2 linked regions of the Tamandua tetradactyla genome follow. The main gene of each other region encodes a partner of the protein of the gene in region 2 in a complex. Links are inferred from orthologs where the notes say so. Each region holds a gene or a part of one and is shown on either strand. Other genes may lie near its edges.

Region 1 (11,774 bases), on a different chromosome or scaffold from region 2:
ATGCTACAGTTGCACAGAACATTAAAACTTCTCTTTAGTCCATGGGTCGATAAGATTTTTGGAAATAGCCTGAAGTTATTTCCTATATTCTGTCAAAATCTTTTCTGAGTCATATCTGAAAAATAAAATGAGCTATCATGAGGCTCACACCTCCTTTTCCCTTGAAAACAAGGAGGAAATATAAAGTGATTAGAAATTTTCATGTGTGGTTCTTAAACGTAGATGGCAATTAAAAAATAAGTTTCAAAAATACTCTGAGTAATGCTAGGGTTGTTAGTGTTTAAGTGTACAGCTTCTAGGTTGACTAAAGAAGAACACTTATTTTAGATAAATATATAAAATAAATAACCTTCCTTTAAAGCAAGAATGGACAACCAGGCCCTATACTATCTGGTCTCCTCTACCCTTCCTTTCTTTCCTGACTCCATCTTCTGCTACTTTATAACTCACTCTAATTCAGATACATTGGTCTCCTTGTAGTCTTGCATTCTAAACATGCTCCTACTCAGTCCTGTTGTACTTTTTGTTGCTGCTGCCAGGAATCTTTTGCCCCAATATTATCTGCAATGTTTGTTCCCTCAACTCCTTCAGGTATTTACCCAAATATCTATTACCCTCTCAATGAGGTCTTTTATGATTACTCTTCAAAACTGCACTCTCTCCCTATCCCATATTCACATCTTTATTTCCCCTTTTCTGCTTTATTTCTTTGTATGTATGTGTCAAACTGTTTTTCATGGATAACCTCAAACACACAAAAGTAAAGAGAATATAATGAAACCCCACACATTCTTCAACAATTTTTTCTATATGGCTAATCTTATTTCATCTATACTCCTCTTCCCTCCAAATTCTTTTAAAGCAAAAATCCAGATATGGTATCGTATCATTTAAAAAAGTTCATTAAATATCTCTAAAATGTACGAACTCTTTTTTTAAAAGCAATAATTCATTACCACACCTAAAAATTAGAATTCCTTTTCATCAAACATCCAGTCAGTGTCCAAATTTTCCATGAATGTCTTTTTTACAATTAGTTTGTGCAAATCAGATCCAACTAAGTAAGGTTCATATATTGCATTTGGTTGATACACCTCAAGTTTCTTTTAATCTTATACCCTCAACCCCTTACTATTTCTTATTTGAATAAACCAGGCTATTTGTCCTTAACACAAGAAATGTTTTATTTATTCTGTTTACTGTCTGTGTATTGTTGTTAGAATGTAAGCACTATGAAGGCAGAGGTTTTAGTTTGTGTGATATTAGCACTTAGCCTAGTGCCTGATACCTAAAAGGATCTAATAAATACAAAATCAATATCTGGCACTATGCCAAAAGCCCACTGTCCACAGGATAGCAAAAAACAGCTAATTGCAGTCCAAACTAGGCCTCTCAGTTTTCTAAACATAGTACTCTGGGCAGATACTAACAAGATACCCACAGGTGGTACCCACAGTGAAATCTACTTGCTATTCCTGCTTTAGCCTTCTGCAAAAAGAAAAGTGTACTTCTATCTTCAAATATGTCAATGCACCTTGATTTTGATATTTAGCATGATGAGTTACTAACTGTATTTCTTGTCAAATACGTTTAAACACTTCTTTGCTTATTTTAGAAAGTTTAGAGGAAAAGCAAACTGAAGCCAAAAAAAAATAGGAAAAGGAATTACAGAAGATGTTGGGAAACTGAGAGTACTACATATTTTTAGAATTAGCAACTTCCCAAGATATTTCTTTGTAAAATAAAAATTAGACATAAATTACTGGAAAAGGAAGTAAATTACATGAGTATTGAAAAAAAAACCTAATTTTTTAAACCACACAAATGTTTAAGATCAACTGGGAGATGATGATAGATGTTAGGATTCTCCCCATTTATAGACACCAGTAACATATTTTTCTGTAAATGGTATTTTGAGATGTATTACAGGGGTGACACAAGGAGTAGTATGTAGAACTGTTCTCTGAAATGGAGTTTATTTGGCAAAAAATAATCTAAAACATTTTGTAAAATAGCCTAAAAAGTAGGTCTTTTTAGAATTATGTATAATTCATTTTTCTTAAGTAATTTGATGAAGCTCTTTTCTTCAAGTATATTTCTGAAAGGCAGCTATGCTAATTGGAAGACTCCAATGAGATGTTCATATGTTTACATTAAAATGAGAAATTCCCTGACATTTAATTCAAGAAATTTTTTGCTTTCCCTTTATTATTTGTAAATTCACTCAGCAATAACAGCAAAAAATTATTTAGGACCCAATAGGTATAGAATGTTAGGCAATTATTTTCAGCCTATAGAAGGAAAAAATATTCGAATAAGTTATCTATTTGAAACAATATGAAGAAAAGATAGTGGCAGAACTTGAAATCCTATCCAAATCTTTTAGTAGTCAATATTTGTCTTGAGGCTCCCACACATTAGTCCAGGACTAGTTTAAGGTACAGGTCAACTTTAAACAGAAAACAACAACTCCCATCATCACTATCAAAAATGTAAAAAAAAAAAGACTTCAAAACCCAAATCCCTTGAAAGAATGACTTCTATTTACTTCTCTGTGATATATTTAGAGGGGAAAAGATGGATAGAAATCTATAAACAGAAAGTGCTAAGAGGAAGTCACTGTTTATAGACTTAAGCAAAAATTCTATCCCTTAATATATAAAATGCTGTTAAGAATCTTTAATCTTGTACTCTTTAAAAACATCATCAGATATTCATCACTGTTGATCTTCTTCCTTCTTTCTTCTGGCCCTTATTTATTCTCTTTGATTAAAAAACATACATGTAACTTTTGCAATAACAATTTTTCCAAAGAAACTTCTAGAACAATCTCAGTGCCATCATATATTTGTCATTGTGAAATTTTAAAGTATTATATAAATTTAAATATATATCTAATGAAATAATCCATATAAACTTTTCTAACTTAATACTCGATTGATGTGCCATCCTAAGATGTATGTATGTGAATATGTTTGAAAGATAGTTTTCAATTCTAAATTTTTTGGCTTAAAATCCTTATTAGCAACAGAAACTTCTGTCTGAAGTTTGTTCACAAAAACAGAACTACTCTAGTTCTTATCACCTGACTTGCTAGACATCCATAGTAAAGTGTGTCCTGAAATGACAAACTCTTAATATACAAATGACAGCCTGAAAGGAAACTGAAACAAGTCTAATGGAAACATACTTAGTCTTTCCCTTGAAACCTGCCTCAGTAGCGTTCACAAGACTAGACCCAGTTCCCCACCCAGTATTCTCAGTCACTTCTTTTAAGAGGTCACAAAGAAATTAGGGAACCTGTAATGCCAGACTCTGCCAGTCAGCACTAACTCCTGACTTTGGACTCTAATGACCGAACAAAAAAGACAAGAGTGTCGGTAGCTTCCTTAAAATACAAATACTCCTGGTAAATCTGACTTATAAACGGTAAAGAAAAATTTCAACATAATCAACTGTATGGTCACATAGCTGACAAAGTTAAAGAGAGCATAGATCACCACCTCCTCCAAACTTCTGCTGCTATGGCACAATTTCCAGGTCACTTTTTCAAATCAATAAATACCATTACTATTTATTACAGTACCTCTACCTTTATAATAAAAACAGAGGTGACAGTTTGCTGTAAATTTACTAGATGAGGCATTTTAATCACTTCACTACACGCAACTTTCCACATACATTAACTCTCCTACTTCCCAACTGTTTTAAACTCATGATCTTTTTTAACATACTACAGAAAGGGAACAAGTTAGAAGCTTGGGGAAAAATACTAAAATAGCAAATGCCTCCCTCTCATTTTCTGATGCAACCACCAGAATCTAAAACCTGGAGCAACTATGCAATACAAAATTAAATTCAAGGAGAATTTAGGACAAATGAAAGTACTGTTACTACAGTTCTGATCATTAGTCACCTCATAAAATAACTAGTAGAAATGATGCTTGATTTGTAGTTTTAATACTTTCCTGTTTTGTTCAGCTTCTAAAACAAATAAATTTGCCCTAGGACTTCAGTATTTTACTCCAGAAAAGCTGTTGGTGTGAGTAAAAAGCATAAGGTATTCATATGCTGTATGTGTACAATAAGAACAATGTTTTGAAGGATGTAAATCTGATTACTCTGAGAAAACATTTTCTCTGTAAGCTACAAGCAAATCATATCGTGAACTGAAACCGAACTGAAACAACTGAACCTTCGCAATTCAAAAACTTAATTTCACAATACTGTGGAAACTGAACAATAATAACAAAACAACGAACATGTCTCCTCAATTATAAAAGTAATACATATTCAATGCAGAAAAAGACAATGCCAATGCTGAAACAAAAGATCATCTGCTATGAAAAGAAAACAAAACAGCATTTTGCAGAGTAAGGTAAACAGCTTTTGAACCAAAAGAAATAGATGGCTTTTTCATATACTTAAAACTTCAGTCTTTAGCACAACAGCACCTTACCCATAAAGAGTTTAATATCATCTGTCGGCATACTTTTTGATTACTAAACTATGGGAAGGTTGTTGGTGCTTTAAATGTTAAAATCAAGGCATTTCCTTCTGTGAAGTGATTAAAACCTGTTAAGTGTACATTTAAAAATCTTGCCTACTGCATCACCGCTCTCATGCCTGGTAAGAGTCCCGCACGTATTAAAATAAAGGTAGATGGTAAGGTGAGTTTAAGATTTTCCAACTCGGAGTATTTTTCAAGTCCTTTGAGGCTTTAAGATTCAAGACACTATGTTAGGACAATTACTGAATGAACTACCTAACAATTACCCAGGCTTCTTTTAGACTTGAGTTAACCTGTAAGTAAAATGAGCATCTTTAACTTCTCCACGGGGCATTCGAGAACGAGTTATTACTCATAAATGTTTTCAGATCCTAAGACATCGGGCGCGGTAGATCAAGCGTATTCATCAATTAAAGAGCTCTTTCGAACCTCAGTTTACCCACTTACGGAAATGGGCTTATTAACTCGCTTCGCAGGGGCCCCAGAGGTGTAATTAATTAGTGTTTCAAAAATGCTCTGCGATCCAAAGATGAAAGGAGATGCGACAGACGCGCAGAGATGATGGCAGTCATCATAACAATAAAAAGAATGACTAACTTGGAAGCTGTGTTATGTAAGGGAGGAGAAAGAAGTTATCAGATTCGCACAAACAAAAGAAAAACCCATCGCCCCCTTTGTTTCTCTTTCATTTCTCTTTTCCTCCCAGGCGCCCGCAGAGCTCCCCTCCCGCAGCAGGCGAGCGCGGCTGGGGGCTCAGGCACCGGAGTTGGCCGCCGCGCGCCCCGCGCCCAGGCGGTGGGGGAGGGCGCGACGGGCCCGCTCCTGACAAAGGCGCTTCCTCCGGCGAGAGCGCGGGATGAAGGCGCCGCAAACTCCGTTCCGCCCGCCTCCCGGTGCAAGGGCGCGCTGCGGGCGGGGAGAGCCGGCCGGCCGCCGGGAAAGCTAAGGAGGAAGTTGCACGCGCCCTCCCCAAACCCCTCCCCAGCCCCGGAGCCCCGCCGCGAAGCCTCCGGCGGCGCCCCGTGGCGGCCGCAGCCACACTCACCGGACAATTGTTGGTGGCCGAAACCCCAGCACGGCGCCGAGACCCGGATCGAGGGGGTGAAGTGTGGTGTGTGTGTGTATGTGTGTGTGTACAGCGCGGCGTGCCTCCACCGCCGCCTTCCTAGCAGCCCGCCGAGCTGGGCGAGGGGAAGTTGACCAACGCACCGAGTGCTGAGGAGCGGCGGGCGGAGGGAGAAGCGCGGAGCGTGCTTTGTGGCGCGCACTCGGAGGGCTCGAGACAAATCCGATCGCGCGGCAGGGATGGTGCTGACGGTGGAGGCGGCGGCGGCGGCGGCGCCCCCCGACGGTCCCCTCCGCCTCACACCGCCTCTGGGTCACTGACACACACTCGGAGGGAGGGGAGGGGACTAGGGGGTAGGCGGTGCCGGAGGGAGGGGACAGGGCAGGGCCACAATGGGAGGCGGCGACGCGGCGCCAAAATGCCTCTTGGGAGTTGTAGTTCTCTGACGGAAGAAAAAAATGAATACGTTGTTGTTGCCGACCCTTCCGGGCTCGCTGGGTACTGCGCATGCTCGGGGGAAGAGTCTCGGGGGGGCGGGGGGGTGCCTTGGTTACCATGGTCACCGACACACTGACGGAGTGAGCAGTTCAGTGCTGCTGTTGACTGAACAAGGCCCGTCTTGTATTAAGGTACTGTTGGGGATCCCGCCCTTAGGTAGTCCATCTCACTTCGCCCCACCCCCAACTCCTAGCCTCACCACTCTGAAGTGTCCAGTGAAATCTAACTTCCTCCTGATTGTTTCGGTGTTTTTGAAGCCCATATGCCCTTTCGGGGCTCCCTCAAGCAAATCCTCACTGACTCAAATTTAAATTTCTTTCCTTAAGATCTGTAGAAATGTAGTTGCTTCCTGTAATTTAACATTAGGTTTTAAAACTTTAAGACACATCACCACTATCAGAATCCCATAATTAATTTCTTCAATTAGGCATATCTAACTTTAAGGATAGCAATGTAAAGTCCAGGGTTAAGATCACTATATTTTTCCTTGGTCAGTGTAAAAAATCCGAATTCGTTCGTTTTGGCTTACAATTAAAAAAAATACAAATCTTGTAAGGAACTGGTAAGTTCAAAAGTTAGGTGGGGAGTTGAAAATATGCTCCCTTATTTATATTGATAAACTTTTATTTGGCAAGAACAGCCGTCTGAACTAAGTCATGAGTATGTTGCTGGACTGGTCAGCTAAGTCTACACCCATTCTGGGCACCCAGGTATGAATAGGTGATAGAGTTCTGTGGTGAAAGACAGGACACATTACTGAATCTCCAGAGGACTAAGGACAACCTGTCCCTAGCTCTTCTGTTTTCTTTCTCTGCCAATGTAAAGCCCCACCTCTGGAAGGAAAAGAGCAATACTTAGAAACCAGAAACACATTTAGATAGGGAAAGTCAAGATTTTCAAATAAAGTCTTAAGATCAGAAGTATTTATGTCTGCAGATCATCTAATTATTCATTCATTAAAAAAACATTTCTTGAGCATCTATTATATCCTAAGCACTTTGAGGCCCCAGCAGTAGCCACATAAAAACATAAAAGAAACATTCCTTGGTTTCAAGGTATACACAGACTCAGTGTGACAAGTACTATAATAGGCAAATGCACCAAGGGCTTTGTATACAAAACTACCCCAGACTGGACCAAGGTCAGGAGATGCTTCAAAGAACGTTTGCGCTTGAGGATGACCAGGAGTTAATGTGTTTGTGTATTTTGGTAGGGGAGGAGGGAGAGAGAAATGGGTGAGAGCATTCTAATCTGGGGGAACAGGAAGGGCCATGCCCCAAAGTCATGAGAACAAAGTGTATTTTGTTTCAGCTAATAGTTCAGCATTTCTGGTGGTAGAATGGTGGGAGATGGGGAGAATAGCAGGAGGAGACACTGAAAAGGTTTGGGAGAGTGCAGATCAGGAAGAAATCTTGTACAGTATGCTAAAGAACATGAACTTTTTTCTGGAAGCAATGGAGAGCCACACCTGGGTTAAAAGCAGATGGAATTTGATAATAGATGCATTTTAGAAAGGTCACCCTATGGAGTGTGGCCTGACTGGGGCTTGTTATAATACTACAGAAAGAAAAAGCAGAGAGATACTGAACTAAGCACTGGCAGTGGCAGGAGACAGAATGGTGGGCAATCACATATTATTAGGAATTGGATTTAATAGAACCTAGTAAGTAATTGCCTGTGTTTTGGGGGTGGAGAGTGGAGGACAAATTGTCAGTTATGATGCTTTTGGTTGTATACAGCAGAAAATCCACTCTAACTAGCTTGGCCAATAAAGATTTGTTGACCCATCTAGCTAGAAAGTCCAGTGAAAAGAGAGCCTACAGGGCTGGTTGACTCAACAGCTCAGTGATGTCATTAAGGTCATATTTCTTTCTTGTCTCATTGCTTTTCCTTCAGTAGTATTAGCTCTGTGGTGAAATGATCATTGCCAACAACTCCTGTGCTAAAAGTTTCCTCATGTGGGTTTAAGAAGAGACCAGAAGAGAAAATCACTTCTGGAAGCTATTTTGGAAAAAAAGAGGAAACTCCTTTCTCAGAAGCCTCAAGAATTGAGTTTCATGTCCATATGTGAACTTAAAAAGGTGGTCAGGGGATGGTATTAGGCTTAACGTTTTAGGACTAAGATATATGTCCTGCCCTTAGTGCCAAAAGAGCCAACTTCCCCAAAAGCACATGGGCTGTGATGAGTAGGTATGGGTAGCCCAATGAAAACTGAGAGATGACCCAGACAAAGAAGAATAGATGCTGAGAAGGGGATCAAAATATCTGCAACACAAGGACTCAAGGATGGCTCCCAGATTTCTGGTTTCTGTGATTATGAGCTAGTAGTGCCATATGCTGAGTTAGAGAATACAGGAGAAGAAACAGGGTTTGAGAAGAAATTGGATGAGTTCACTTTTGGCATGTTGAGCTTCAGATGACTCTGAGATACCTAGGTGGAGAAGTAGAGTGGGCAATTATATATATATATATATTCTAAGGCTCTAGGAAGAGAAGAGATCAAGACAGAACATAGAATTGGAATATACCAACGTGTAGATAATAGTTGAAATTATGGGAATGGGTGGGAAAGAGTACACTTAGCAGAAAAGGAGGACTCAATAGTAGTATTCTGGGTAATACCAGCAATTAAGGGATGGGCAGAAAGATCATGGAAATGACTACACATAGCAAGAGAATTAGGAGCATGACTCTCATTCAGCTAGCATGCATCAGTAAGGCCATACTCATTGAAAAATTGCCAGATACTTCCATATGAAATCATTGTTCACTAATGTAGGCTGCCCCAAGCCCCTCTGAATATTTTCTTGCTTCCCTGGTTGCCACAGCCCCTGCCCTGGAACGCTCCCTCCATGTCTAGTAGTTCTGGCCTCACTGAGAATTTTTCAGAGGAGTGGTGCAGACAGAAGGCAGACTCATATTTGTGCTAAAGCATAGCTTGTTAGCTATTCAAACATATATGATTTTAACTAGACTTTTAGCCATGAGAGAGTAACAGGATTTGGAGTTATCAATCCACCATTAACAATCAGAAAAATGGACAAAATATAGGAAATGACTTTTCAGTTAGGCAACAGGTGGTCAGGACTATGATACCTGATAAAAGGGAAACAATTGAGATGAAACCAGACATCATCCAGGCATTCTTTCAGGAGCAATTTCCAGACTACCAGCAGAGAAGGAAAACTTGAACCCCAAAATCTTGCTGGGTTGAATAGATAGTGGAGTTAAAAGGAGGTCAGCGTTCTAGAGAGAAGTGAGCTATGTGGAGAGTTAAAGAAATCTGCCTAGAGGTTCCCTTTAGTGTTTGGCTAGACAAAAATAACTTCCAAGGAAAGAACAATAAAAGGGAAGCCCAAATGGAGCTGGAAATCCAGCTAGAGTGAACAGACCTCATTGAATATATGGGGCATTCAGAAGTGAATGAAGTGAGGCAAAATTAACTCCCAAATAAAGGCTTTTTCTAGACACATCATAAAGGAGCTTAAAAACAAGTCTCGAATAGATCAAATTAATCCAGAAGTATTTCCTACCAGGAAAAATACAGCACTCTTTAAAGGAGTGCAACAAAATCAAGCACTCAACAAGACCGAATTTCTAATGCCTTGCATCTAATAAAAAAAAATCGTTAGACATAGATAGAAGCAGGAAAATGTGATCCACAAACAGGAGAAAAGTAAATCAACAAAAACAGAGCCAGGAAAGACAGGCATGATAGAGTTAGCAGCCAACAACATTAGTATAGTTATAAATATGTTCCAATGCTGAAGGTGCACATGAACTCCTAAGCATAGAAGAACTAAATATTGGAAGAAAAAAAAAAAGGAATTTCTGGAGATTAAAATTAAAACGAAACGAAAACTTCATTGGATAGGATTAACAGAAGACTAAACACACCTAAGAAAAAAAATCAGTAAACTTAAAATAAAATAAAATAAAATTTATTTTATCAGCAATAAAATCTAACTGAAATAAACCACACATACACGCAGAAAAGAACAGCGTTTCAGTGATCTATGGGGTATCAAGTGGCCTGTTTTATTTGTAATTGGAATTCCAGATGAGAAAAGGATGGGGGGGGGCGGTAACATTATTTGAAGTTATATGGCTGAAAATATTTTCAAGCTTGATAAAAATTATAAACCCACGGATTCAAGAAGGTCAAGAAACTCATAAAAGGGTAAATACAACAACACTCGCACAAACCATTGCAAAAGATATCATCACATTGTTGAAAACCAATGGTAAGAAGAAACTATTAAAAGCAGCCAGAGGAAAAGAGGCACGTGATGTTCAGAAGAACAAGGACTAAAATTCAGTAGCCCTGTCATGAGAAACTACGCAGGTCAGAAGACAACGAAAAGGCATTTTTAAAGTGCTGAAATTAAAAAAAAAAAAAAAAAAAAAAAAAAGTCTGTCATGTAGAATTCTATAGCCAGAGAAAATACCTTTCAAAAGTAAAGGCTAAGGGGCAGGCCATGGTGGCTCAGCAGGCAAGAATGCTTGCCTGCCATGCCAGAGGACCTGGGTTCGATTCCAGGTGCCTGTCCACGTAAAAAAAGTAAAGGCTAAGGAATGTAAAATCTGAGAAATGTCTCCAACAGAACTGCACTACAAGAAATATTATTATCAGCATAAGAGAAGCGGCACCACATGAAAACTTGGATTTATACTTGAGAACAAAGAAAGCCAGAAATGGTAAATATGTGAGTAAATGAAAACTGTTTCCCCCCTTCATTTCAGTTTTTAAAAAACTATAATTGACTATTTAAAGAAAAAACAGTAACACTGAATCATGGGGTCCATAACATATGTAGAAGTAAAATGATTGATAGAGTAGAGGATGGAAGGGGGAAATGAAAGTATATTAGAAAGATCTTACATTATGAAGTATTATATGAAGTATTATAATATTATTTGCTAAGTTAAAATCCATAAGAGTCTGCAAACTGCCACTCAAAATAAGCAGGTATTGATGGTAAGTCAATAGTGGAGATAAAATGAAATCCTAAAAATTGGCTTGACTTGAGTAGCAGAAACATAAGAAAACTAGTTCCCTAATGATCATGGAGCTGACATGACAGCCCTGGACCTTCCACCTCATGACGTCTTTTCTTGAGAGAGAAACAAACTTCTATCTTGTTTAAAGTTATCATCATTTTACATTTTGTGTTATGTGCTGCTGAACCTAATCAGAATAGCCACCACACTATCATAATCTCATGAAAGAGACTATATTTCTCAGAATCAGGTAGACCCACGTATTGTCCAGAATTTCCCCATATTGCCAGCAACTTCAACATAACTTGGGGGTTCATATATTTGTAGCTAAAATTCCAAGGTCAGCATCATTTACTATTAGTTCAATCAGTTTTTCTTGCAGGAGAAGATACATGTAAAGTGCTTAGCACAGTCCTTGACATACAGAAAATGCTAAGTCTATATATAAGTATATATATACAGAGAGAACTTTGAAACTGAGCTACAATAATAGGAAAGATGCACCACAATTTAGACATATGTTGAACTTTGTACTCCAAAGTCACGTGGAAAAAATAGCATTCATTTATGTGTCAAAATCTGTGAATAACTTTTTGAAATTGTGATTTTTATCTCCATCATACAGTTCTGAATAATTCTTCAAAATCTGCAATTCTTGGATTCGGGGCAGTTTAGTCATAGAAAATGAATGTGCTCCAA
Region 2 (11,868 bases):
TCAGGAACCTTATGCTTCTCCAGATGTGTAAAAGCTGGCCCTGACGGGACTTCCTCCTCCACTTCAGTGTTAATGTTCACCATGGTGGAAGTTTGGCTTCTCTCCAAGTGGGTCCCAAATAAGTCCTTATCTTCTACAACATTCACATCACTATCCCCAGGGAGAGGCTGGCTTTTTTCTGAAAGTGCTAAAACAAGAGCTCCATCCTTGTTTGTGTGGCACTTGGGGAGAGACTGTCTCTTTTCCACTTGGAGCTCTTCCTCTTCCATATCTATGTCACTGTCTCTCCCAGCAGAGGTTAGGCTTTGTTCTGGAAGGACCATAGATTGGGCCCTGTCCTCTTCGACATCAACATCTTTGTTTCCTGTAATAGTTCGGCTCTCTTTGAGAAGTGACAAAGCAAGTGCTGCTGAGATTTCGTCCTCATCATCTGTGTCGCTGTTGAGCACTATGGAGGGTTGGCTTCTCTCCAAAGGTGGTGGGGCCTCACCCTTCTCCACATCTGCATCACTACCAGCCTGGCTCTCTTGCAGATGCACCCCAGGACTCTTTGTGCTAACTCCATGGAAGATTTGCCTCTTCTTCACAGGAACCACAGCTAGGGTTGCAGGAATCCCCTCTTCTTCCACATCTGTATCACTGTCAATGAAGGGAGAAGACTGGCCCCTTTCCAAGTGGACATCAGCTGGCTTTTCTGTAAGCTTACTGTCATCATCCACATCTGTGTCACTGTCCTCCTCCATATCTGATTTCCCTGTATCACTCTCTACTTTTCTTTCATTGTCCACCTCCTTTGCTGAAGGCTGATTCTTTTTGAGGTGGAGTTCAACTGCAACTCCATCAGCTTCTGCAGTTGCACTTCTTCTGGAAGTTGAAGAGACCTCCCCTGATGCTGGCTGCTCACCTTCTTCATCTGTGTCACTTTCCAAGTTGAAGGCAAAAGGTGGCCCACCGCTACCCTGGGCAGGGGAAGCACTCTCTTCATCACTACGAAGAGAAGAAGAGAAAGATTTGGTAGACTCTATTTCCCAGGAAGGGATACTCCATTCAACCATAAGCTCCTTGATGACAGACCTGAGGTAGTATTTTTTTCTCTGTCTCCAGCAATTAGTACTCCATCTGGCACCAGAGGTGATCAATAAAAATTAAGCTGAGTGAATACATATGGTTCCCCTGCCCACTCTCATGATTAGAGATTCAATTCTCCAGTCCCTGGTTCCTTCTCCTTTTGAAGACACAGGTGTCTGGCCCTTTGGCACTCACCTTTCCGGCACTACCGTTGCCAAAGGAGAAGATGTGGACTTTGATTCTTTCACTATACACCTTTCAGAAAAATCTGTCAAGAATAGAAAGGAGCAAGCTGACAATTTTACATACCCCATCTGCCTCTGTTCACCGAGCCTCCCAACACCACAAACTTACCTACTTCTTCCTCTGAGTCCTCAGCCAACAGAAGGCCCTGGGGTTGAGTTCCTGCCTGTACCCTGGGTGTCTCCTCAACAGTTAGGGTACCTCGGGAGACAAAAGGCAGGGGGACATCCAGGCGATGGTACTGGCAAGGCAGGTCAGCAAAGAGAATCAGCTCCTGGTCCCTCAGACGATGACTGACCCCAGGGCTCAGAACCTTAGGAGGCCTGAGGATTTGAGTACCATTGAGGCTCCCACAATCACGGAGGAGAGGTGCCTTGTCCAAAGCCAAGATTTCAATTACTGCATGTTGTTTGGAGATGGACGGAAAGGGCAGGGCCACAGAGCAGTCAGGCTTTCGGCCTACCACATTCTTCCCAAGATATAGTGGGAAATCTAAGAATTAGAAAGGAAGATAGGTTCCAAGGCCAGAGTCTTTTCTTAGGAAAATGTTGCTGTTACGTTTTTCTCTACTCACTCAAGGCCCCCACTTGCATTAGAAAAACAAAAGGCTCTAGAACATCTAGGCACTGAAGAGTATACACAATGTATTATTCATATTCAATACTCTCTCCAAGGGAGTGCATGTTAGTTCAGTGGTAGAATCCTCTGCCTCCCATGCAGGAGACCCAGGTTTGATTTCTGGCCGATGTACTTAAACAAACAAAAAAAAACAGCAAACAAAAATAGTGCTGTGATACTGGGATATTCAATGGAAAAGAATGAAATGTGACCCCCACTGTACAGCGTATATATATATATATATATATAAGCCATATCCCTCCACCCTGAATTTTAATTTGAATCTCTCCATCTTCTCCTACGAAAGTAAAATCACTCCCACTGAGTCTAGGGCACTAGATTAGAACAATAAACTCAAATAGCATCTTTTCCATTTCTGATAAAAAAATTTTTTTCAAATCTCCTTGAAATATATATAAGCCTCCTGCAACCCTCCAGATACCTCCTCACAAAAAAAGTAAACGACTTATACAAACACTTCAGTACCCAATATCCCCTGACCTTTTTCTGGTCCATGGGCACTGCCGAAGATATGCAGTCGCCCTAAGGGCTCCAAACTATAACCCAAGGATTCACTGGCTCTCTCTTCCTCCTCCTCTTCGTCAACCTCCCAGTCAATAACCTGGGTATCTTCCATGACCTGGGAAAGAAACACATTATCATTGTCCTCACCATTAGTTCATACACACACAACATCAGAGAAGAAATTGATAACTGGAGGTAAAACTGGATAGTTGTGGAAACTGATGCTTCTTTTTCTCTCATTCATTCTCTCGATAGTCTTTTGAAGTATTTCTCAAACATTTTTGATGATGACATAAAGTAGAAAATGATATGGCTCCTGGTACAGATATATTTAAACCTTTGTGCTTATTTATAAAAATACGGTTTTGAGAAATAATGCTAAACCCTACTATTTACAATACACTGATATCTTTTCATTCTTTTTTTAAATTCTCTGTTTTTTAAATGCTAATTTGCAAACCACTACACTGATTTCACTATTTACTCTTGGGTCATAATTCAGTTTGAAAAACATAATTTTTCTTTTTTTTTGTATGGGCAGGCACCAGGAAGCCAACACGGGTCTCTGGCATGGCAGGTGAGAACTCTGCCACTATGCCACCTTTGCCCACCCTGAAAAACATAATTTTAAAGGGAACAAACGTTTGCTGAACATTAACTATGGCCCAGGCATTGTGTTACATGTCTGGCATTAACGGCCATATGAGAAAGGCATTTTGGAAACTAAGACTAAAAATATTAAATCATTTGCTCAGGATAACACAGCAAATGGAAAGGACAGGAATAAATGTGCTTCTGGCTGCAAGGTCCATGTGTTTTACACTTTGCCATATAGTGTGGTCAGAGAAAACTGCAAAGAATCACAATACCTGGTGACATACAGAGGCTTGCTTTGTGCAAAGCACTGTTTTAATTAATTCACACTGACTGATTCACTTAACCTGTACAAAACACTTTAAGGTAGCTGGTAGCTCCCATTTTTCTGATAAAAGAACCTGTGACACAGATGTGTTAAAGAACATGTCCAAGATCACCCAGATAATGTCTCGCCTCTGTCAATACCCGTTGAAGGCTTTCCATGATCCCAGGACAAAACAAAAACCTAAACTCTTTAGTAAAACCCTCAATTAGCTGAACCTCATGTCCAGCAATGCACTAACCTTCCTGCCCCAACAGCCTATGGTTCAGCCAAATGGGCCTTCTCCCCTATCTCTCAACATACTATCCCCGCATCTCCTTACACCTGCCTGCTTTAGCCCAGCTTGCCCTTGCCCTTCACTCCTAGTTTCCTTGTTCAACTCCCACTTATTCTTCAAAATTCCGTTTAAATGTCATTTCCTCAGCAAAGCCTTTCCAGGACGCCTGGTGGATCCTGTGTGTTCCACAGGGATCAATGGACTCGTGTCTCTCCTAACAGTTCTTATCACACTGGAACTATTACTTTCATTTGGGCCTTCAACACCCATTCGTGGGCAGGGCCATTAACCTTGCCCTCCTAGAGTTACATCGCCGAGCTTATCGAAAAAAGAACAAATGGAAGGAGATGTAAACTCAAAATAACACGGGTAGAATCCACTTAAAAAGATGCCACCCTAGAGAGAAACCATTGACTGGTGACAAGTAGGAAAAAGTGTTAACTCCGACCCTGTGAACAACTAAGCGGGTCCCCCACGACCCTTGACTCCAACCCAAGGGCCACCATCTTGGAACCTTACACCAATGGGTCCCCTCAGGATCCAACGTCTCCCTGCGTCTTCGGACCTAAGCTCGGGGCGGGGCGTCAGGTGCGGATGGGCAGGACAATCCCAGAAGCAAACTTCCGAGTCGCCTCCGCCCAGGCGCCCCTAGGGCACGCCCCTCCCGCCCTCCGGGAGAATCAAGATGGCACCCGGGGAGCAGCGGACTGGGCGTCCAGAACTCACCTACTTTGAGTCGTCGCGCGCGCCGCTAGTAACGGCCGCGATCCAGGTGGCGCGAGCGCGGACGCCGGGAAGGAGCCGATTCGCTGATTGGCTCCTGAGGCTGTCTTCACAGCTCGGCTGCACGCTGATTGGGGGAGCCTCCCGCGCTGAAGCAGCCCAAACTCCACCCCCGGCATGCCCCACCCCGCCCCGCCCGGGCAGCTTCTCGCAGGACACTGCGAGACACTAATCCGATGTTGCTCTGCGCGCAGGCAACTACGCACCTCGATTGGGCAGTTCCAAGGGACAACCCACCGCCGCTTCACCGCTCACTGCCCACTTCCCGCGCAGATTTCCAAACCGTGACCATAGAGTTTGGCGCCCGCTGCTTGCGGAGGATAGAAGGGCTATACGATAGCCATCGCTCAATGCGTTTGGTGCGGCCAGGGCGTCCTTTCTCGGTCCTCCCAGACATGGTGTCCGCTGACTCATGAGAAGTGGGTTGCGGCTTGCAGTCGTGGCTGCAGGCTGCAGTGCGAACAGGCCGTAGGCGTGGCGCTTGAGGACTCCTCATAGCAATGGAATTTCATTTCCTTTTGACTTGTCTTGTTCTGCAGAGGTCATGTCATTTCTTCTTGGGGATACATCACTGACGGAGATTTTGAGGTCATTTTCCTAAAGCACAGATCCCTAGGCGAACAGAGAGAACTGCTGGGCTAACCGTCTTAAAAGGATTACTGAGATCTGTCCGCACCTTTCAACGAGTGGGAGGATAATAAAATCATTTCAGTATCTCAAGCTGACATGAAAAGAATTGCAGCACTTTGAAATGCATTTATTTTTCCCATTAGTTCTCATTTAATTCTGACCACATAATACAAGAGGCAGAACTAGATTTTAACAAACGTAGGAATTGAAGCTCTGCGGTTTAAACGACTTGCCAAGGTTCCTAAAGCTAATGTAAGGTAGAGATAAATTCGAAACAAGTCCTCTAAGTTCTAAACTCTTTCCACTGCCACAAAATAATGGCTTTCGTTGTGATCATGGTATAGAACATAAAATATTCTATCTAAAGTGACTAGATGAGGAAGGGTCTTACACAACTTGATATTCCATTATTTAGAAGGTGACTTGAGAAATGTATTAAATCCAATGTGAATTAACAATGACGACCTTGAAATCACATCTCTATTATAGTGCTTCCCACACTATTGTTACTATGTTTATCCAACTCTCATCAAACTGAGGTCCTGGAAGACAGGACGCTAGTTCTTAATCATTTTTGTATCTCTAGCTTCTGGTTTGATGAACACGTAATATCTATCAAATGACTGGATATTTGGGAACAAAAGGCAAGCTACTGTGACATCATCCCATCCAATTTTTAAGATTATTTATATTATATATTCTCATACCATGTAATCATCCAAAGCGCACATTCACAATATCATCATATAGCTGTGCTTTTATAATCACAATCAACTTTTTTTGTGAAAAATAACATATACAAAAAAGCAATAAATTTCAAAGCAAATGGCAACAATTAGTTGTAGAACAGTTTTCAGAGGTTGGTATGGGTCACACTTCCACAATTTTAGGTTTTTACTTCTAGCTGCTCTAAGACACTTGGAGATGAAAATAAATATCAATGTAATGAATGATTCAGCAATCATACTCATTTGTTAAACCCTACCTTCTCTGTATAACTACACCATCATCTTTGAGCTTTCTCCCACTCTCTAGGGGTATTTGGGCTATGTCCATTCTAACTTTTTCACGTTGGAGGGGGCTGTTGAAAATATGGGATGGGGGATGGAACCAGTTGATGTTCTGGAGAGGATGGCCCCTCTGCATTCAGGATTTATCTTGTCCAGGGACCCATCTGGAGGTTGTAGGTAACCCTAATGCACGGAACTTTGGTAGAATCTTATATATTTCCCTGGGCACTCTTAGGATTGGCAAGAATGATTTTGGTTAGGGTTTGGCAAGTTATGATAGGTAACGATGTCTAACTGAAGCTTAAGAGTGACCTCCAGAGTAGCCTCTCGACCTCTCTCAGCCACTGATACCTTATTTGTTACACTTCTTTTCCCTTTTGGTCAGAGTGGCATTGTTGGATCCCATCCGATTTCTCCTTACCAATCGATCCCCCCATTCTCCCCATTTCATTTGTAGCTCTTGAAGTTAGCTACAAATGAAAGCAGCAAACTGAAAAAACATTGCCTTCATCAAAGTACCTAGAAAGGCAAGCTGGAAAGACCCTGCTATTTCTATCAGACATATAACTCCATAGTTCCTTGCTTGACAAGAAAACCAAGATGTCTACAACGCCCACATGAGGCCCAGATTCCCTACTGGACTGAAACTTCTGGCTTCACAGTACTCTGACATCAACTTGCCTAAACCATTCAACTTATTCTTTGAACATACCCTCCAGCAGCTACATCTCTATCCTGGAAAGTCCTTGCTGCAATACTGTTTCTCTTTCGAAACATCATTCGAAAATTCTCAAGCGAATAAATAAGAGAAGGACAATCCCCAACTGCTTCCTGAGGCGCAGTGGTTTACTGGAGTTCAGGTTTGGTCAACAAAGAACCAGACGTCGGGTAGCAGAGCAGGGTGCCGCATTTCTCCCCAGTTTTCGCTGAACTAAGCATTCCTATCTTTTCAAGAGCTAAGGCAGCAGGGAGCTTTCTGGGCGTGCCCACCCCACTTCCCAACGCCTGGCATCTCAGTCTTCCCAATTCCTGTATCTTCGAAAACTCCCTTTCTGTGCAAAAAAACTCAGGAGTAAAGAAAGCGATCTTGCACAAGGTCATCATTTTTCATTAAAAGAACAAAAGAAAACGAAACACAAAAAAAATCACCCGGTACCCACCCTTTAGTCACCTCATTTTGCGGCGTGGACAACAATAGAGGACTACAACTCCCAGAGAGGAGCGCGCTCGTCCACTGCGAGTCGAGACCAATGGACGGCTGGTATATGACTGCCATCAACTAATCAGGGCCAGCGTGGATGAGGCTTTGTCTCCCGACCGCCGCGCGGGGCCGGTTCTCCCGCCTCCCAGCCGCCGCGCACGCGCGCCCCGCCCTGCCCGCCTTCCCTCCCTCTCCCTCCCCCCTCCTTCTTTCTCCCTCTCAAAGCCTTCCTGCTGCCGCGTTCGGACCTTGCTGCTCCAGCCTCCGGGCCACGAGCCATCCTGCCAGCTTGCGACCCGCGGAGGGAAAGATTCCATATCATTCTCTTGCCCCGCACACACTTTGAGGCGAGCAAAAAGTTAAAATAAATTTTAACCATGAGGGAAATCGTGCACATCCAGGCTGGTCAGTGTGGCAACCAGATCGGTGCCAAGGTAAGGATTTTAAATCTCTTTAACTGTATTTCTTTTGAGCAGGAAGAAGGAAAGCCTTAAATTATGAAGAATGATTGTGGGATATTCGTGCTCTCCATCCTTAAGCTGGGGGGGGGGAAGTTTTATACATATTTGTGGCTAGAATTTGCCTTTGGAAAATGGGGGATTATTTTTCTTGGCAGGCTCACTTTCGGAAAGGACCCTTCGGGTTTCGGGGGCGGGAAAACCGAGGAGTTGTAAAATTGCACTTAGAGGATCTCCTAACGGTCCGAGGACTGGGGAGCGAGATGCGGAAACCTCCCGAGACAAAGCGAGGCGAGCCTGCCCCATGTGCATCTCGCGCTCGCCCCCCCCCCCCCTTGGCGGGAGTTCCTAGGGCGAAGCCCGAGGGGGAAGGGGCGAGGCTGGGCGGGCAGCTGCAGAGGGCGTCTAGCCTAACTGGGGGTGGGGTGGGGTACAATGCGCCATGTGGACTGCTGCCCGGCCCCCTTAACAAAAGATAAGGGACCCCCGCACGGCTCCGGTCCCTGTAGTTTTAAGTGAATGAAAGGATAAAATGTACGTGATCAATTTTATTTCATTTTTCCTTAACGAGATCCTTTAACGGAGTGAACAGATAGGGAGAGGGTGGAAGAAAAGGAGGGAGCATGCCCGCTTAAAATAGCCGTAGGAGACTAAGTGGGAGAGGGGCAACCCTCCTTTAAAGCAAGAAAAAGAAACTTAGCGAAGGAATAAAATTCCAAGGCCTAGGGTTTTTTTTTTTTTTTTTTTTTGCGCGCGGTTACAGTGTAGCGGGGGAGGGGACGGGAGGAAGTGCCGCTGCTACGTTGTAGCAGAAGGGCGGGCCCGGCGGGGCGGGGCGCCCTAGGCGCGCGAGGACAATGCGGTCCTGCTGGCCCGCGGGGGCGCGCGAGCCCCAGCCGGGCGCCGCCCCACGCGCCCGTAATTCAAGCCCTTGGCCCCGCCTCTCCCACGCGCGACGCCTCCCATTGTCGGCGGCTAGACCCGCGCGTGCGCTGCAGTCACATGAAGGCCGAGTTGGGGGCCTGGGCTGCAGCTGCAGTTCTGCGTCCAGCGGCCCTTTGTTTGCTGCGTGGAGGGGCGGGGCCCGGCGGGGGCGGGGCTTACCTAGGCGGGTCCGCCTGCTCCCTCTCTCTTCCCCCACCCGGGTGCCTGATACCTCCGGGTCCTCTCAGTCCCACATCACTTTCCCCAAACCGTGAATGAGCTGAATAAAACACAGAAGCTGCAGCTTACCCCGGGGCTGTGGGTGTCTAGGGGAAGGGTGTGGCTGGGGGATTGAGGGGATGCCGGGCCCTCGTACAGCACCTACCATGGGCGCGACTGGAATTAAAATAGGGGAAAGAAGGTGATAGTTGGGATCTGAGCGGTTGTGGGCTCATTATTCTTAACCGGCAGTTCTGGGAGGTCATCAGCGATGAACACGGCATCGACCCTACCGGCACCTACCATGGGGACAGCGACCTGCAGCTGGATCGCATCTCCGTGTACTACAATGAAGCCACAGGTGAGAGAAGGTGCCCCGAAGGCTTGGGGTCCTATATTATCCTGCTTCATGTCTCCATTCCCGAGGAACCCCCTTTGGATGAATCCTCGTCCTTTGGAGACCTTTCATTTTGATTTCTTCCCCGTCTCCCACCTGGAACCAAAGCTTAGTTCTGCTGCCACCTGGTGGCAGGGTTTGGAATCACAAGTCTAGGTCTCAGGCTCTTTCCTAACCCTAATATGTTATTTATCTTCCCCACCTGCCAATTCTCATTCCTGTACTTTCTCCCCTATAGGTGGCAAGTATGTTCCTCGTGCTATCTTGGTGGATCTAGAACCTGGGACTATGGACTCTGTTCGCTCAGGTCCTTTTGGCCAGATCTTCAGACCAGACAACTTTGTTTTTGGTGAGTTGTTAGTAGATACCATCATATTCAATTTATTTAGGTGTGTGAAAATAGAAAAGGTTTGGAGGTAGTTGTAGTGGAGAGTTTTTAGAGAGTTATAAAATCTGAAGGAGGAGGGTAGTGGTGGTAACTGCCCTAACTAGTAAATTATGAGGATGGATACATTACAGCTGAGGGAGAAAGGAAATACATCTAAAGGAATTATTGTAAAAGATAAAAGGTAGATGTATGGTCACATAGCTTCCAAACCTTCTTAATTAAGCTTACCTCTGAACTCCTTTCCAGGTCAGTCTGGGGCAGGCAACAACTGGGCTAAGGGCCACTATACAGAGGGGGCCGAGCTGGTCGATTCGGTCCTGGATGTGGTGAGGAAGGAGGCCGAGAGCTGTGACTGCCTGCAAGGCTTCCAGCTGACCCACTCGCTGGGCGGGGGCACAGGCTCTGGAATGGGCACCTTGCTCATCAGCAAGATCCGTGAAGAGTATCCTGACCGTATCATGAACACCTTCAGCGTGGTTCCCTCACCCAAAGTGTCTGACACAGTGGTTGAGCCCTACAATGCCACCCTCTCGGTCCACCAGTTGGTAGAGAACACAGATGAGACCTACTGCATTGACAACGAAGCCCTCTACGACATCTGCTTCCGCACCCTCAAGCTGACCACACCAACCTATGGAGACCTGAACCACCTCGTCTCAGCCACCATGAGCGGTGTCACCACTTGCCTTCGCTTCCCTGGCCAGCTCAATGCTGACCTCCGTAAGCTGGCAGTCAATATGGTGCCCTTCCCCCGTCTCCACTTTTTCATGCCTGGCTTTGCCCCTCTGACCAGCCGTGGCAGCCAGCAGTACCGGGCTCTCACTGTGCCCGAACTCACCCAGCAGGTCTTCGACGCCAAGAACATGATGGCTGCCTGTGACCCCCGCCATGGCCGGTACCTCACTGTGGCTGCTGTCTTCCGCGGGCGGATGTCCATGAAGGAGGTGGATGAGCAGATGCTCAATGTGCAGAACAAGAATAGCAGCTACTTTGTGGAATGGATCCCCAACAATGTCAAGACGGCTGTCTGCGATATCCCACCCCGTGGCCTCAAGATGGCAGTCACCTTCATTGGCAATAGCACTGCCATCCAGGAGCTCTTCAAGCGCATCTCGGAGCAGTTCACTGCCATGTTCCGCCGAAAGGCCTTCCTCCACTGGTACACAGGTGAGGGCATGGACGAGATGGAGTTCACCGAGGCTGAGAGCAACATGAACGACCTCGTCTCCGAGTACCAGCAGTACCAGGATGCCACCGCAGAAGAGGAAGAGGATTTCGGTGAAGAGGCCGAAGAAGAGGCATAAGGCAGAACCCCATCACCTCAGGCTTAGTTTCTTCAGCCTTCTTCCTTGTCTGCTGCCCCTTTCCTCTCCCTCAGAATTTGCATTTTCTGCCTGGTTTTTTTTTTTTCTTTTTTTTTCCCTTTTGCAGGGGGGTGGTTCTTGAACAGTGCCTGACATATAGTAGGCACTCAATAAATAATTTGCTGTTTGTTGAATGTCTCTTCTCTCTTTCCACTCTGAGAAACCTAGATTTCTGCCATTCTGGGTAACCCTGTATTTTCTTCTGGTACCTACTTCTCCCATCTGTCTAGTTAATGATACTTTCTCTGCTCTTAAGTCATTTCTCCAAAATGCTGGGTCTAATGCGGATCCCATTTAGAACAAGGAAAGAGGGTGGGATTTTACATTCTAGAGCAATTTTGAGGACAGGAATCCAGGTTCTTCAATGATTACGTCATGATTTCCAGGTATTTCCCGTTTCCTGTGTCAGCTGCAGGGACGGTATTAACAGTATTATCCCCACTTTCAGTTTCCTTCCAGGCTGTATCCTAAGCTCTCAGTGCCCTTACAAAGGGTCTGCCCTACTCTGCCACTGGATTCCTTCCTTTATGTGGGCCACCAAGAGGGAAGAGATTGACCTTGATCCCTAATCCTCCAGAAGGCTTATCCCCGCTGTCCCTACCTTCTCTTACCCCAAAAAAGGAATTGCAGCCCTGACATGGAAAGGTGCTTGCTACCACCTAAGTGGTTGAGTCAATTTCCTGGAAGAGGTGATAGGACACCCTCCATCTTTTTGTAACATTTTTTGAGACTGCCTTCCCCCGTGTCCATCTTTAGTTTTCTTCATATTCTACAATTCAGATTTCTTTTTTTGTGTTGAACTTGCTGCTTTTTTTCATATTGAAAAGATGACATTGCCCCAAGA

Evidence for each region.
Region 1: the proteins of MDC1 (region 2) and PELI1 are in contact, whole or in part, in a crystal structure (PDB 9IF9), measured with the Homo sapiens proteins. The link is inferred for Tamandua tetradactyla from reciprocal best matches to the Homo sapiens genes MDC1 and PELI1. Residues at the interface, in NP_055456.2 of Homo sapiens: Glu761, Asp762, Ser763, Glu764, Thr765, Gln766, Pro767, Phe768, Asp769; in NP_065702.2 of Homo sapiens: Arg104, Ser105, Thr106, Glu107, Thr115, Asp116, Val130, Gln131, Ser132, Thr133, Ile134, Ser135, Arg136, Phe137, Thr185, Asn186, Thr221, Arg222, Ser223, Ala224, Cys247.

The regions. Positions count from the first base shown.
Region 1 is NC_135343.1:37,211,882-37,223,655, forward strand, and holds the start of PELI1 (E3 ubiquitin-protein ligase pellino homolog 1), read right to left. Parts: upstream 5,970-11,774; 5' UTR 5,720-5,969; exon of another isoform or gene 5,556-5,719; intron 116-5,555; exon of another isoform or gene 1-115. UniProt on the Homo sapiens protein: E3 ubiquitin ligase catalyzing the covalent attachment of ubiquitin moieties onto substrate proteins. Involved in the TLR and IL-1 signaling pathways via interaction with the complex containing IRAK kinases and TRAF6.
Region 2 is NC_135331.1:85,599,032-85,610,899, forward strand, and holds the start of MDC1 (mediator of DNA damage checkpoint protein 1), read right to left. Parts: upstream 4,499-11,868; 5' UTR 4,377-4,498; intron 4,367-4,376; exon of another isoform or gene 4,170-4,366; intron 4,048-4,169; exon of another isoform or gene 3,324-4,047; intron 2,570-3,323; 5' UTR 2,567-2,569; coding exon 2,431-2,566; intron 1,804-2,430; coding exon 1,423-1,803; intron 1,361-1,422; coding exon 1,264-1,360; intron 988-1,263; coding exon 1-987. Other genes in the region: TUBB (tubulin beta chain), read left to right, coding at 7,652-7,708, 9,128-9,236, 9,511-9,621, 9,907-10,964. UniProt on the Homo sapiens protein: Histone reader protein required for checkpoint-mediated cell cycle arrest in response to DNA damage within both the S phase and G2/M phases of the cell cycle.